Xenopus tropicalis: one gene and its partner. The protein of the gene in region 1 interacts with the protein of each later gene in a biochemical or structural test. Links are inferred from orthologs where the notes say so. Each region holds a gene or a part of one and is shown on either strand. Other genes may lie near its edges.

Region 1 (8,148 bases):
CATATGAGATAGAACTATACATTCAAAGAACATGCCTCACATGGTATAAAGCAGTTAAAGTATTCCACTGATGTAACAACACATGTTTATACATATAGGATCAAAGAGGTTCAACTGCTTTCTATACACAGTGGTTGTTTGTTTGTAATTCTGTGCCTAACAGCTTAATCTGAAACCAAATCACCCACAGACCGATTATATCATTCTACACAATATTGCGCAAAAAGTTTTGGCTGTGCTGAACCAGATTTTGGAGTTTTACATTTAAACATAAAGACAATAGTCTGAAGAACCACATAGAAATAGTAGTTAGTCCATGGTTCATTCCAAAAAGTTATAAGTGGAGCTACACTGGGTAATGTCTTAGTGAAGATATCCTAAGGTCGGTACCTTGGACCGACTCGGCAGCTTATCAGCCCATGTAGGGGCAGAAACGAGGGGCCTGGCCGACCGATATCTGGCCTGAAATTGGCCAGATATCGATCGGCCAGGTTAGAAAATCCAGTCGGATCGGAGACCGCATCGGCTCCTTGATGCGGTCCCCAAACAGACTGCCCCATTGCCGCCCCAGGGCCAAACGATCAAATAATTTTTTTTTTACCTAAACTCTCCCCGATATCGCCCACCCGTAGGTGGGGATATCGGGGGAAGATCCGCTCGCTTGGCGAGTCCGTGTATGGCCAGCTTTACACACACTTGGGAGACTTGCACCTCCCCCCTTTTATATAAAGCCATAGAGAACAAGTATATAAAAAGGCAATTTAATTAATAGAGGGTATGAAGAATTTATTGAAACAAACAGTCCAATTTATTTAACAGATCCATGTAATAAACTCTCCAAAAACCTATTCACCAACTTGATATTAGAAAGTTACCCTTCAATCCCTAAAATGTACTCTGGAAACTGTACAGTCAAACACAGTATGTTTAGGAACCACTGGTATCTAAGAGCAACTAAAGGCCAAAATCATGTTTGCCCATAGCATTTTACCAGTGCATATGGTTGCACAATTACAGTATCCATATACAGTCAAAGTTTGGTTTTTGATCTCTTCACATTCCATCATCCTGGACTGTTGGCAAATCCGTTAAAGCTCTGGCACCTCCCCAAATTCAGACATATATGAGAATGGATAATAAGTCCTCAATAGATACATGTCATTATTTGTCTAGTTTTAAAGAGGTTTTCAGATTACAGGGGGCTCTTGTTCTCAGCTGGGCCCTTGCTTACAAGTTGAAGGAAGAATTTCCAAGCAAGGCTGGGTGCCATTGGTGGTTAAAAAAAAAAAAATAATTATATATTATATATATATTATATAATATATATGTGTGTGTATACGCCAAGCGAGCAGATCGGGCCGATGCGGTTCCCGATCCGACTAGATTTTTTAACCTGCCCGATCGAGATCTGGCCGATATCAGGCCAGATATCGGTTCGGCAGGCCCGTCGGTAGTGCCCATACACGGGACGATTAGCTGCCCAATCAGTCTAAGGGATAGATATCGGCAGCTAGAATCAGCCCGTGTATGGGGACCTTAAGTCCTCTTTCACGGAGGCCTTCATTGCTATATGCTGCACATAACTTGATCCATGAGAAGTCAAGAGGCCTAATATAGATATGTCCCATATATTTTATAACCTAGGCAAATACCCCCATACCCACATACTATGTCTGTATTCCACCTCTTACAGGGAATGCCTCCTCCATTACCAATTATAGTTCTAGCTCAGGGGTCCCCAACCTATTTTACTTGTGAGCCACATTCAAATGTAAAAAGAGTCAGGGAGCAACACAAGCATGCAAAAGGTTCCTTGAAAAATATGGGTAGCTCCTATGTAGATTGGCAGCCTACAGAAAGTTCTGTTTGGCAGTACACAGTTTTGATGCAACTAAAGCTTGCCTTCAAGTCAGGAATACAAAAAGAAGCACCTACTTTGAAGACACGGAGAGCAACACCCAGTGGGTTGGTGAGCAACATATTGCTCACAAGCCACTAATTGCAGATCACAGTTCTAGCCAATTGCTAGGGTCAGATACAATACCACTTGCAACAGCCCTACAAATACATCTGCTGCCTGTAACAGGACTATCTGAATGAAATTCACAGGTTAAATATGACCCTCAGTCCAATACTCATGGGTCCCAACCTGCCAAAGGGTTCCTGTTGTTGCTTTGTATGAAATCTTTGTTCCCAGAACACTGGGTATAGTAAATATAATTGCACAGCACTGGTTTATACTCTGTAAAAATGACCAGGCCACCACCTGTATCAATATGAGACACAAGAGCTGCGCTCAATGACGCATGGAAAAAAACAAAATAGAACACTATCATATAATCCATCAATTGTACCCTTCCTCTTTGTATTTTAGAATGTCAGTCTTTTATAGTAATTGTATAATTAAGGTCGGCAATTGATAGTAGCTATCGTGCTAACTGATAAAGCCCCAAGCCAACGGTACAGTAGATCGCGGCAATATGGACATATATGAGAAAATTAGATAAAACCAACAAGCCTAGCAGTCCACTAGTTGTTATAGGTGCAAAAATAAATCAGGGCTCATTGGAGCTTCTATTACACAAGTGCATTCAGTTGCTGTTCTATGATGCTGTTATTTGTTCTGATCTTGACCCAGTTTTGAAATCGCTATCAAGGGGGGGGGGGGGGGGGGAGAGAAACAAAGAGGACAAAGTGGCCAAAGCTTATTTTTCATAATACAGGCATGGGATCTGTTATCCAGAATGCTTGGGAACTGTGGTTTTCTGGTAAGGGATTTTTTTTTAGAGCTCCATACCTTAAGGGAGCCCATACATGTACCGGTACCGATATTACCATACAAAACAAGGTTTGTAACGTGTATGGCCATCTTAAGTCTACTAAAACATCACTTAACCATTACTTATTAGGATTATTAGGAAGGGTTTTTTAAGCTTAGTTACCATCAAGTACAAAGTTCTGTTTTATTATTACAGAGAAAAGGGATTTTTTTAATCAGAATTATTTGCTTACAATGGAGTCTAGGGGAAATATCCTTCTCATTATTCAAAACTTTCTGCATAAAGGGTTTCCGGTTAACAAATCCCATACCTGTACTGCTATCTTCTTCAGCAACAAGCAGCTTACAAGCAAACACAATATGTGTGTGTGTGATGTGTTTACATTTCATACACCAGCAAAAGTCCAAATTTAAAGCCGATTTTGGTTACTGCGTTGGAATATTTGCCGGAATCTTTAGTACTCAGAATGGATGAGGTGGAGGGGAAAAAAAAAAAGAAGTTAGCCAAATCCATCATAGCAAGAATGAGATCATGCAGCGGACTCCTCTAACATCTGGCTCGCAAACAAGACCCTATCCAATGAATCTCCCCTTCTGTCCCTGCCTGTGTTAAATGCCATGTCACGCACTGGAGGCGCACTGCAGCCCCACTGTGTAGAGAGGAAGCCGCTGATGTGGTTGCAGATGAGGTTTGCAAATAGCAAATGGAGATGCCTTCACAATGTCAGCCTTGTTTCCCTCGTCAACAACCCTCACCGTTTCCAAGTGATGCCATTAAGGAGAAAAAAAAAAAAAAAAATACACAGAATCAAACGCCATACTGTTGACAAAGAAATATACCATAACATTCATGCCCACTGCTTCTGACACGGCCCCTTTGTACAAGGCTGCAGAATATAAAGGTAGCTCACATGCCACTCACACTGGGCCTATGGACATGCATATTTCATATCCACCTAGATTGCTTTTCTGCATCACTAACTCACATACAGGCTAGCACTACAATTTCTAGGATGGGATTGGGAGCACTGGTTTAACCCACACAGGCACACATGACAGCATTTCCAAGGGGAAGAAATCCCAGAAAGCAATTCATTGTGCAACCTGGGTGAATTCAATTGGATTCAATACAATGCAAGAGGCAAAAGGGTTGAGTACAATTTCCACACGACCACAAAAAAAAAAAAAGTAATTCTGTATAGATAATGAGAAATTGGCTGCGTAAATAGTGTTTATAAATAGATAGCACGATTGTTAGATGGCAAGCCCATACGTCAGATGCGTTATAACTAATCAATAAAAAGGGATAGCCATTGATTTAATGAGATACACACACAGGCAGGCAAGAGAAGGGCTGATTCCCCCCCACCATGTGTGGATCATTTAGAATTTCCATCCATTATGAAACCACACAGAGCAATAGAAAGAAACCAGAGCTGTGTATGGAAGCTTTGCAATCAGAGGGGCCTATTCCTCAAACCAAATTTTTGCAATGACTGAAGAAAAGACCCTCACTTGGCCAGAAACAAAACAAATCACCCCTCCCCCTCTGGCAGAAAGGGGCACCTCTGGAACAGATTAGATCCAATTGCTACAATATAACAAGACAGTTCCTAACATTGCTCTATTTCATCTGAGGAAGAAACCTCGTCACAAACTGAAGTGGCCTGCAAAGCCATAACGGTAAGGGCCGACCTGGGCACATACACTACAGGGAATTCTGGGAAATGTAGTCGAACCTTATGGTATGAATGCGGCATAGAATGTAGGAAACGGAATATCGCTCAGTGTCAGGGCTGAATAGGTGTGTGTGTGTGTTACAGACAGCCATCCTAGCGTTCCCATTCCTGAGAGTGCGATCCGATTTGCAGGCCTGCAGTGAGGGATGTCAGCACAGAGAAACCTTTACCCCATTCCCCCTCTGCCCAGTCCCGAAGCCGCTCGGTTACAGGCGCAGCACAAAGCAGGACTTCTACTCACCATCGTTGACAGAGGTCGCAACAACGTGCAAGCAACAATACAGTAATCCCAATGCGATTCCAGCTGCAACATCTGTCCTAGGAGACGGCATTGTGGGGGGAAAGGACTAGCAGGGGTTAAGGTGGGGAGGGGGTGCCTTGATCCAGTGCTTGGCCCTCGCCTGGCAGCCTCCCTCCTCCTCTTGATGCCTTGATATCCAGACGCCAGTGGCCACAGAGGGGAAAAAAGAAATCACCCAAAAACGTGAACAATTAAAGGAGGGAAGGTGGGGAGGCTGAGGCCAGCAGCAGCAGCAGCAGGGCTGCCAATGGGCTGCACACTCTCTATTCCAGTGCTGGGAAGGGGTTGATAAAGGGGAATGGGGGGGTTGGAGTGAGGGGGCATATGCAGTCCTAGCGATTCCCCTTCTCGCCCGGCAATAGCTGCAACCTGACTGGATATCCCCCCTGATTATGAGGGATTGAGGAATCCAGCAGTGTTATTAATGAGAAGGGGAATGGCTGGGGAGAGACTATGTGTGGGAGGGAGGGGAGGGAGGGGGCGTGTCTTGTACGGTTAGCCCGCCCCCACCAGCTCTTGGGATAAGCAGGCTGCGGCTTTACAAGGGGGGCGGGGGTGGTCTCTAACCTGTGGCTTCAATGTAAAGCTTAGTCAGGGCCTGTTTTAGGGCCATTTGCCTGGGGTCCCTGCACAGTATTGATAAAAACACATAGAAGATAATGACAGTTTGTCTGGTGTATAATAGCGATGTTCACCCTGCAGCTTTCAATGTCATTAGAGAATTATAGTTTAACAAAAGCCGGAGGGCTGCCGGTCGGTAGCTCCTCTCAGATTCCTAGGGACCCTTTTCTAACTCTGGCCCTGCAAGTGGGTTCCAGCTTCATTGGCACTTTGGTTCATTTGTAAGTGGCAAAGATTCAATTAACTAGAAAGAAATCAGTATAGCATAGGTCAATAGGAGCCCTATCGCCCTATGTAATTGTGTAACTCTCTCCTGGCTCCTTTTTCCCTGGTAATAGTGCCTTCTGCCCAGGAATCCCCTGTCCCCTCCTCCCTGCCATTCTCCAGCATTCATTCTAATGCTCCAGTAGCTGATGTTTTGTCTTCTGTTCAGTGGCGGAACTAGAAGTTACTGGCCCCACAGCAAAATCATTTCAGGGTCCCCCTAAAATGTGGGAATAAGGCATTTTTTTTAAAAAATACTACTTATCTTACTACTTATCATTCAGCGCCTCACTGGGGCCCCTATATATTCTGAGCCCCCAATAGTAGCTATAGAAACTGCAGATACAGGAGTTGTTATCTGGAAATTTGTTATCCAAAAATATTAGTGCCATTTCCAATAGTGTCCTATATAAATATATATTTGTATACAATGGACTTGCTTTTTCTATAAGACAGTGCCTGACGGTATTAGGGGCACTACTGCCATAAAGCTGGCTAGGAAACTCACCTCAGGTGGCAGTGCCCTGAGCGTTACCAAGGGTTGAGTAAAGCCACTCCTAGTGACATAAGGAGATGAAATTCTGATTCTGAGTTGGCTCTTCTATTGCACTCTTGCACTAGCAATGCAACCCCCCCGACCAGCTCTGTCAGGAAAAAGCAGCATTGACCTGGCCCCCTCAGGGTGGCACTTAACCCTGAAACAGCGTTGGGCAGTATGCTTTATAAATCCATGGAGCAAATAACCAGTATCAGTATCAGTAATCAATACTCCTGGGCAACACTGTTTTGCAATGAATACTTGCCACTTTTAATTATAACGGTTGTACTTTTTGGGCATATAGAACATGCCTATACTTTTTTGGCGGGAACACACTTTAAAAAAAGCTTATATAAAACATATATATTTTTTCACTTTTCTAGAAAAATGTTCATTAACCTAACTATAAATAAAAATTATGCATCTCTCACATCAGTCCCTGCCCCAGTCTAAGGTGCCCATGGCATACACACACACAAACTATGGTTAATTTTATCAGGAGCCAATAACCTGTGTGTATATTTTTGGAATAGTAATGCTATTTTTATATTGGAAATACAACAGAAACTCTTTTAAAACCCCAGTCCTAAGTTCTTAGGTCTCAATCTATTCCTCTGCAGAATATGCAGGGGTGTAGAGGAAGAAGGTGTAAGGGCCTAACTGATAACACAGTGCAATAAAGAGAAATCTCCCAAAGTTTTGGGACAATTTAAGTTTCTAGTTCTGCCACTGAGTAGAAGAGAATACGGACACCTAAGATCAGCACCATAAAGACGCATGTCTGGCACTTACAGTGTTGTCAACCTTAAGAGTCACCCAACAATACAATACACAAGCCAAACACATAAAATGAATCATGAAAGATTAAAATGTTCTCCTACTTGCCATCTTTTGGGAATCCCACTGTGTGTTATATCCTGGACAAAATTAGACCACTATATGTGTCTATGTCCTTGTTGCTGCTTTGCAGTTGGTTCTGCTGTGTAAATGTAAAAGTCTCTTCAACAGGGGACCACTTTGGTTGCTAGCCCTTGTAACTGCAATCACCATGGAGCTCCTGTTGGGTCTCATAAAAAGGTGGGGATGTTGAGAGTGAGCTTGTATGAGCATGTCCCTATGTGTTTTCATTTTGCATTAAGTTCTGTGCCCATGTTAAAGATGTTTATGTCCAGAAGTTAATGTTACCATAAATCTTGTTTTGCAGATTGTTGAGATAGCTGGGAAAGTTGTTTTGCTTCCAGACTGTTCATGCTTATATAAGAGGCCATGTCTGGACTTTCCATTACAGTACAATGGGAGATCTAGTTGATAGGGGAAGCAACAACGCTGGATTAGTGTTGATTAGTCAGTTAGAGAATACATTTTTTTATGCATAGGTATAATGAGGTTCAAAAGTACACTTGGGTTTAAATCCACTTGTGTTTTGAAGTGCACTTTTAGTTTCAGAGTACAATGGAATCTGTGTAATTCCTTCAATATAATCAAGTGCTTCTGGGGACAAAATATTGTACTGTGGTTAATAAGGAAGTCTAACTTTTGTGTCATCTTGAGTGATTTACTTTTGAGTAACTACCTCCCCTTTTCATTCGTATTCATATAATTTTGGTTATTAGCTCCAGACACATGCCTTCTGTATTTGCAAATAATTCCACTGCCCCATATTACCACAACACTTTTACAAATACAGTATGTTTGTAAGCAGCTGTATCTCTGTACAATATAAGGCGTTCACTGTGAGAAGGGTAAGGCATGGCTAGAGCTAAGAATATATATATGCACTATATTAGGAAATATCTGATGGCTTTAGAGGTACTGGTAATCTGACTTTTGTCAGTAAAGTTTATATGTCTCATTGTGTGGTTATATTAAGAATTTATATATAGTTTTGGAAGGTACTTGAAAGCAA
Region 2 (8,047 bases), on another chromosome or scaffold:
GGTGCAAGGTGCAGAGCCCAAAGTAGCCCTATACTTAACACCTACAGTAGACAAGTGGTAAGTACAGTACTCCTTAGCACCTTCCACCTATTATCTGAATGACATACAATCTAGGGGCAACCACATTTCCCCTCATAAACACAGCACTGCTGTACATTGCCAACACTTTTTGTCTGCTTTTTTTGTGCAATGAAGAAGAATCTGTGCCATCTTGCCCTTTATTTAATAACCATTCCTACCAATAAGTTATCTAATATTTCCAAGATCAAAGTATCTCCTAGAATGTTCTTCTTCAGTCTGTATCCACTGCCCCTCAGTTTCATAATAAATGAACCCACCATGGCATATACCATATACCAACTTGTGGTTCTCCTATAACGCAACATCATCACAATATGTATTGTTGGAAGGATATAAGCTAAATAGAAGAGAATAAGGAAAAGTTACCGTTTAATGCACCCACCCCTTGCCTAGTTTGCTGCATTGGGACCAGGCATCTGTGATTCAGGAATGTCCCCCATTGTGAGTGTGCATTGTAGCACCTAAACCACAAGCAAATCATTGCCTGCAGGCGCTGTAACCATAACACTCCAGGAGACCATCACGTGGACATAGCCTATAGTTAGACAATCTTTCAGGAATTTCATTACTACCCCCCCCCCCCCCCCCCCCCATTTAGTCTATTATCGCAAAGAAATCCAGCACCATAAATCTACGACAGAATATGTTAGGGAGAGCCATATCCAGACTGCATATATGGAGAAATCAGTATCAATTGCACATTAATACAGGCCTGAAACTGTGTATTAAGTATCTTCATGTTTTGGTGTAACTTGTGAGGGCCCTGGGCCAGGATTATAAAGCAATGGGATCAGCAAAGACATTTCTAAATGTTTCATTTTTTCACTTTACTGCTTACTTTTAAGGGTGAAGACACACGGAGCTACTTAGTAGCAACTACTTGTCACAGCAGCTAAACACCTGAAAATCCCCTGCCATAGACAATACAGAGAATTGCCTCTGCTAAAACACACGTAGAGACAATTATCAGCATTGTCTATTTTAGTAGCCACAACAAGTAGCTGCTACTAGTAGCTCTGTGTATCTTCATCCTAAAGGGATAGTGCCATTAGAATAAGCCATGCCCAATACCTGAAACCAGTGTGTAATACTGTGTCATGTAGTGACATTCTAACACACTGTGCACCTCATTGCTCAATAGCTTACAGTCACTGTTTCTGTGAGTATCAAAGCTTACTTCCTTTCGGGCAAGCAACAACTGTCCTGTCTTGATTTATGGCAAGGGTTCTAGCCCCAGGCCTTAATGGGACCCAGCCAAGGACAATTCTCATCAGCCCTTTCTTATTCCCACTATAGTCCTATATGACACCTGGAGGTCAGGACAACTAGTTCAACAGTAAGGATCTGCTCCCTCCTGTCGTCACTGTCAAACTTATATCTTTGGTCAAATTCAATCCGCACACAACAGAACACAACATTTTGATTATTTCTACTGAGTAGCAGCATTCCAATTGTTGGAAAATGCCAAAGGTCACTTCCTATTGCCTTCCATGGAAAGCCTTTCAGCAGGAGCCAAAGATGGGGTGCCAGCCAGATCTGCACCCTTCAATGGAAAGAGCAACACCGTGTTATTTCTATTTTACCATTCAGTCAGTACAGAACAAAATGTGTGATCATTTCCATCTAAGTCTAAATTAAAGTCAGACTAATAATCTTACATCTGGATCTGATCTCTAAGTCTAGAAACAGGATCACGCACACCACAGACAGCTTGGGAGCCAAAGCTCTTGTGAAGTTTGGGTACCCTGATATGGTCCAGGATTGGTTTCTTGCCTTTTAAACTAATGCCAATCAGAATCTAAAGACTTAAGGTGCCCATACACACCTACGGGTGGGCGATATTAGGGAACATGTAGGCTAATTCGATCGTTTGGCCCTGGGGCCAAACAATCAAATTATAAAGGCGGCAATGGGGCAGTCGGTTCGGGGACCCCATCAACGAGCTGATGCGGTCCCCGATCCGACTAAATCTTTTTACCTGCCCGATCAATATCTGCCCAATTTCAGGCCAGATATCGGTCGGGCAGGCCAGTCGTTGCTGCCCCTACACAGACCGATAAGCTGCCGAATCAGTCTGAGGGACCGATATCAGCAGCTACAATCGGCCCGTGTATGGGGACCTTTAAGTAACCTGGAGCCAATCAGAGCATTCGAATGCTCATAATCCAACAAAAGCAACTACAAATGCCAAACTAAATTGTAAAACATATCTGTACCCATTCCCGTGTCTTATATCAGAGTTGTTTCTGGCAGCATTCATCCTATAATAATATTTACCATGAAGAAGGCTTTATCTTGTGCATTGCCTGCCATGTGTGTGATCTTTCTCTGCAGCATTAGGGGTTATCTTATCCTCGCACAAGGGTTATCTGCAAACAGCTCCCAAGAGCACAAATATGCACCAACGCGTCCCACGTAGATAACTACACTAAATATTTACACTATCCCACTCAGTCAACAACCAACATAAAAAGGGAAATATATTTTTGTACGTTAAAATGAAACGTTTGCACAAAACACAAATATTTTCCCAGTCCAGGGAGCAGTTACTAAGCTAATGCAGGACAGGAAGGCAACTCATATGCCCCGTAATATTAGCTAATACTATAGCGTGTTGTAACAGTTCTGACATGTTAAAAATAATTTTAAAAAATCAGCATCTCTCCAGCACTCAGTCCCTTCTACTAAAAGCAAAAGGGGGTTATGTAATAAAAAGCACTAACTTTGCCCAGGAGCATTCACCCATAGCAGCCAATCAGCAGGTAGCATTTACTGGTCACCTGTTAAAAAGCAAACATCCTATTGGTTGAGATTGGTTACTGCTCCTAGGCAAACTTTGTGCCTTTTATTACATATAGAGCTAAGTGACTTCTCCACAGAGAACACAAGATACTGAGGCAGATCCCTTGCTTCTAGATCTTCTCTTAGGGAATATCTCTTTTACTTTATTTTCTTCACAAATGCTTATTTTCAGCCTGCAAAGCCACTTTAACTTGTATATTTCTATTAAATAAAATTAAATTAAATACCTACAAGAATCGGCCAGTGTATGCTTTAGTCATGGCTGGCAGGCAACACACAGCAAGTTACAACAGTAACTGTAACTTCCACCAGTCTCTGGAAGCCAAAGGCTATTGGGGTGTGGTGCCTGTACTTTAAACTTCCAAGGGGCTACAGTAATGGCTGGTTTCCTCCAGGTCTGGTAACCACTACAGATCGCCTTAGATCAAACAACAAGCAAGCAAGAGGAATGCCCACGGAGTCTGCCAGAGTACACAGAAATGGCACAAAGAAGATGTCTGATATTGTATTTAAAATAGACGTTGTAGGGCATATTATGGTGAGAATGCGGGATTAGGAGTTTATTTTCACATATATAAACTGTGGGGCCTTACAGGAGGATTACATATAGTTGATAGGGGACGCAGTCTGAAGGACAGGGAAAGATTTGTGGGTGAGTTCTCATTTGCCTGGATACTGGAACTATGGCACTTTGCCTATTACGATCATGTTTCTGGAAGTCGTAAACTGACTTATAGACCAGAGAAAACCCATATTTTATAAATGGGATATACACTGGGGATCCCCCCATAAGCTGAGATACAGAGCAGAGAAAAGTCCTATTGTATAAATGGGATATACACTGGGGATCCCCCCATAAGCTGAGATACAGAGCAGAGAAAAGTCCTATTGTATAAATGGGATATACACTGGGGATCCCCCCATAAGCTGAGATACAGAGCAGAGAAAAGCCCTATTGTATAAATGGGATATACACTGGGGATCCCCCCATAAGCTGAGATACAGAGCAGAGAAAAGCCCTATTGTATAAATGGGATATACACTGGGGATCCCCATATAAACTGAGATACAGAGCAGAGAAAAGCCCTATTGTATAAATGGGATATACACTGGGGATCCCCCTATAAACTGAGATACAGAGCAGAGAAAAGCCCTATTGTATAAATGGGATATACACTGGGGATCCCCCTATAAACTGAGATACAGAGCAGAGAAAAGCCCTATTGTATAAATGGGATATACACTGGGGATCCCCCTATAAACTGAGATACAGAGCAGAGAAAAGCCCTATTGTATAAATGGGATATACACTGGGGATCCCCCTATAAACTGAGATACAGAGCAGAGAAAAGCCCTATTGTATAAATGGGATATACACTGGGGATTCCCCTATAAACTGAGATACAGAGCAGAGAAAAGCCCTATTGTATAAATGGGATATACACTGGGGATCCCCCTATAAACTGAGATACAGAGCAGGAAAAAGTAGTATATTTTACATTAATTCCCCATCACAGCACTGGATCTCAGAATACATTGTGTTCAGACGGCACCCATATTGTTTCATAAAAAGAAAATCTCTCACCTTGTGTCACCACAAAGAGGCTCAAGTTCCACGTAGTGTCCCTTCCTGAAATGAAGTGAGTGCAGCTATCACTCAGCTCCTTTATAAGGGAATTTAATGCAAGGGGTGGGTTACTTGGTATTTGTGTCAGTGGGAGATGAGGTCACAATTCCGTGATAAGGCAGATTTAATGAGTTCAAGAGCAAGTGACCTTTTTTTTTTTTCCACACTCTGAATTATTATTTCTATACCTCCCGCTGCTCACTTTCTCTTTCAATGAATAACCGGAAACCCCATGGCAAAAAATACAGGAAAATAACAGTGTCTGTCTCAAAATAATGGGCTCCAGGGCGTAGGGGAGGAAGAGAGGGTGGCAGAGTCTGGGCATTCAAGTGAAAATTGAGCCATAAAAATGGGGGTGGAGGTTGTAAAAAAGTGTGAAGAAGTGATATAGAGATAATGTGTGCAATAAAACAGGATCAGGATGGAGGGGAGGAAAAAAAGTGAAAGAAGGAAAAACAAACAGGACCCAGTGACTTGCAGAAAAGCATAGGCTGCTGCTTAGGGAGTCCAGCTGGGAGTAATTCTAAAGGATTATTACTGTTTGTCAAGCATTCCTTGGCACCGTGCTTCCATAAGGATTTGACTATGTAAAACTGTAGGGAAAAAAACTGCTGTTTAAAAAATGTAAAGGTCAATCTATAGATCCTATGGCAAAGGGTTGCCTTATGCCTTAATGCTACAAAAACAAGCATGTATTAACTTGGACCCTTTACTTGCCCATTAAACTCTTTGAAGGCTGGCAGGGCCCTTCTGATTAGAATTTAGCATTTGGCCTCAGAACATGAGCTGCAGACTCACTAAGCGCTGATGCATTGCAGCACTGGAGTCCTAGGTTCAATTCCAGACAGGGGTAAGGAGTTTGTATGCTCCCTATGTCTATGTGGGGTTTCTACTCTACTCCAGTTTCCTCCAACAACATACAGGCAGGCTAGCTGACTATAGTGAGAGTGATGGGGACATTAGATTGTAAGCTCTACTGGGGCAGAAACTAACTAATGTCACATGATGCATTTTCTTTGCCCTAAGAGCTCTGGCACATGGGGAAATTAGTCGCCCACAACAAATCTCCCTGTTTGCGGGCGATTTATATTTTCGCCGGTGGGACGGCATTTTGGGGAGATTAGTTGCCCGCGAACAGGGAGATTTGTCGCGGGCGACTAATCTCCCCGTGTGCCAGAGCCCTAAGTGGGTAATAAAAATGAAAAGAAACCACCCCCACACGTGGAGTTAATCTGCCCGTTAATACAAATGCATTTTCTGGCTGTGTAAATTCTTAGGAAAAGATATGGAAAACCCAATTGCTTAACGAAGATTGCAACCCGCCATGCCTACATAATAATGTAGTACAGTTGTATGCACAATGAGTACACACAATGAGTAAGACAAAATACATCTTTTTATGTTTACTTCTGGGAAGTATGAGTCTAATGTCACACTAGGTGATTTCTCTACTACCCAGTGTCCATTATAAGGGACATCTATGGTATCCACAGGTCACTGTGCACAGAGGTAGACTGACCCTAAAATATCGTTTTGGGGCCAAAATCGAGCCCCCATACACATTGACAGGTGTACACCATAGTTGTCGCTTATTATGGACACAAAGCATTGTTTCAATAATTGTTTTCTGCTGTTAAACACACAGACCAGAAATACAGTATGCATTTATTAGAAGGACCCCTGATTTTGCTGAGATCCTTAAGCTCCACATGGGTGGTATTTCCCCTGTGTTCCTGCCCTATGGATTGGTAATGTTCCAGGAAAATTCCGTTTTAGCTTCAGGATATTCTGTTTGTCTAAAATTCTGTTCAGCTAGGTGGATATGAATAGAGGAGCGGAAATAGGAATTGTATATATAAAGTGTGAAAGGAAGTCCAGTTCATGGCCATATCAAGTGTAGAAATCCTGCATTGGATACTGTTATTTAGAAGCTGGATACATGCGCAGACTGGACTAGATTTCTGCACTTACAATGCCTTCAGCCTGCATCCTCCCAATCCCACAATTCCCTGCACACATGATCACACATCACAGTGCATTGCATTGTTGGTTATGTAGTTCCTGCATGCTGTCTGTAAGCTGTGAAGAAGTTGTTCAGAAGGAGAATTTGTAACATCAATGTTTTAGTCCCTCCTCCCCTGCCAGGATTTCAAATGGTGAGAAAGAAAAGAACTGTTTTGCAGCTGGGTTTCAGCATATAAAACTAACCAACCTGACTGCCCCATCTCAACCTGTCAGTAACAGCTTCTAATTCTAAGGGACTACTGCAGCACAAATACAGCCGCCCCCTCATAGAAAACATTGGGCAAATACCTTTAAGGCAAAATTATATATAGAATGCAACGGCAATGTTATGATAGATGTAAAAAAAAAAAGGTTTCATTTCTGGTTTCAGTATCGCTTTAAAGTAAACTGTGCATCTTTTACTGTTTATGGTACCCATGTAAGCAACGAGGGGGCATCCAGCACCAGTTAATTACCTAACTACTTAACTACATAACCCATGAGCCTGCCTCAGACTGCCATTGTTTTATATATTAGCCATGGCTGAGAAAAGATGTCCATTAATCCTTTATTCCTATTAGTTCTTCTTTCCCCGCTAACATACAGAAGTCAGATCCATCTCTATATAAATGTTGTATTATAAGAGTTCATGCCTGTTCTCCCATGCTAAAACATCATCCATCTATTCTTTTAAAGGTATTTAACGTACAGTGTCTTTTTTTTACATTTGTGACTTGTGATTTGTGACATTTCTCCATAATTATAACCTAAAATATGACCCGATTCTTATAAACCCAAGGAATAAGAACCCAGTTAAACAAATACACTTAGATTGTAAGCTCTTCGGGGCAGGGAACTTCTTCCTACTGTCTCTCATACCACATGGCACTTACTCCCTGTGTATTTATGCATATTTATTGTATTTATTATAAGACTTGTCCTCCCTGTGTGTAATTGTGTATATTGTAAGATTGTACAGCGCTGCGTACCCTTGTGGCGCTTTAAAAATAAAGTTATACATACATACATACATGAATCAAGCACATAATGCTTTACTGAAGAAAAAGTTGCATATTTGTTGGCAAAAGTATATCACCCTCTATGACCCTGAGTTCATTTGGAGGGGACATGAGAGCTATTGTTTCACTGAATGGGATAATAATCAGGTGGGAGTGTGGGAGACCCTGCCTTATTTAAAGTACTGAAATCTGGCTTTTCACTATCCAAGTCCGATCTACACAACACATGTTTATGGAAGTGAGTCATGGCTTAAACAAAGATTTCTGAGAACCCCCGAAATGCTCATCAGGCTGAAAAAGGTTACAAAACGAATTCTAAAGGTCCCCATACACGGGCCGATAGAAGCTGCCGATATCGGTCCCTTGGACCGACTAGGCAGCTTATCGGCCCGTGTAGGGGCAGAAACTATCGGACTGGCCGACCGGTATCTGGCCTGAAATTGGCCAGATATCGGTCGGCCAGGTTAGAAAATCCCGTCGGATCGGGGACGGCATCGGCTCGTTGATGCGGTCC

What was found.
Region 2: the proteins of lrp1 (region 1) and plat form a complex in vitro, tested with the Homo sapiens proteins (2 studies listed by BioGRID). The link is inferred for Xenopus tropicalis from reciprocal best matches to the Homo sapiens genes LRP1 and PLAT.

The regions. Positions count from the first base shown.
Region 1 is NC_030678.2:139,398,492-139,406,639, reverse strand, and holds the start of lrp1 (prolow-density lipoprotein receptor-related protein 1), read right to left. Parts: upstream 5,254-8,148; 5' UTR 4,851-5,253; coding exon 4,760-4,850; intron 1-4,759. UniProt on the Homo sapiens protein: Endocytic receptor involved in endocytosis and in phagocytosis of apoptotic cells. Required for early embryonic development. Involved in cellular lipid homeostasis.
Region 2 is NC_030679.2:130,555,896-130,563,942, forward strand, and holds the start of plat (tissue-type plasminogen activator precursor), read right to left. Parts: upstream 4,513-8,047; 5' UTR 4,469-4,512; intron 1-4,468. UniProt on the Homo sapiens protein: Converts the abundant, but inactive, zymogen plasminogen to plasmin by hydrolyzing a single Arg-Val bond in plasminogen.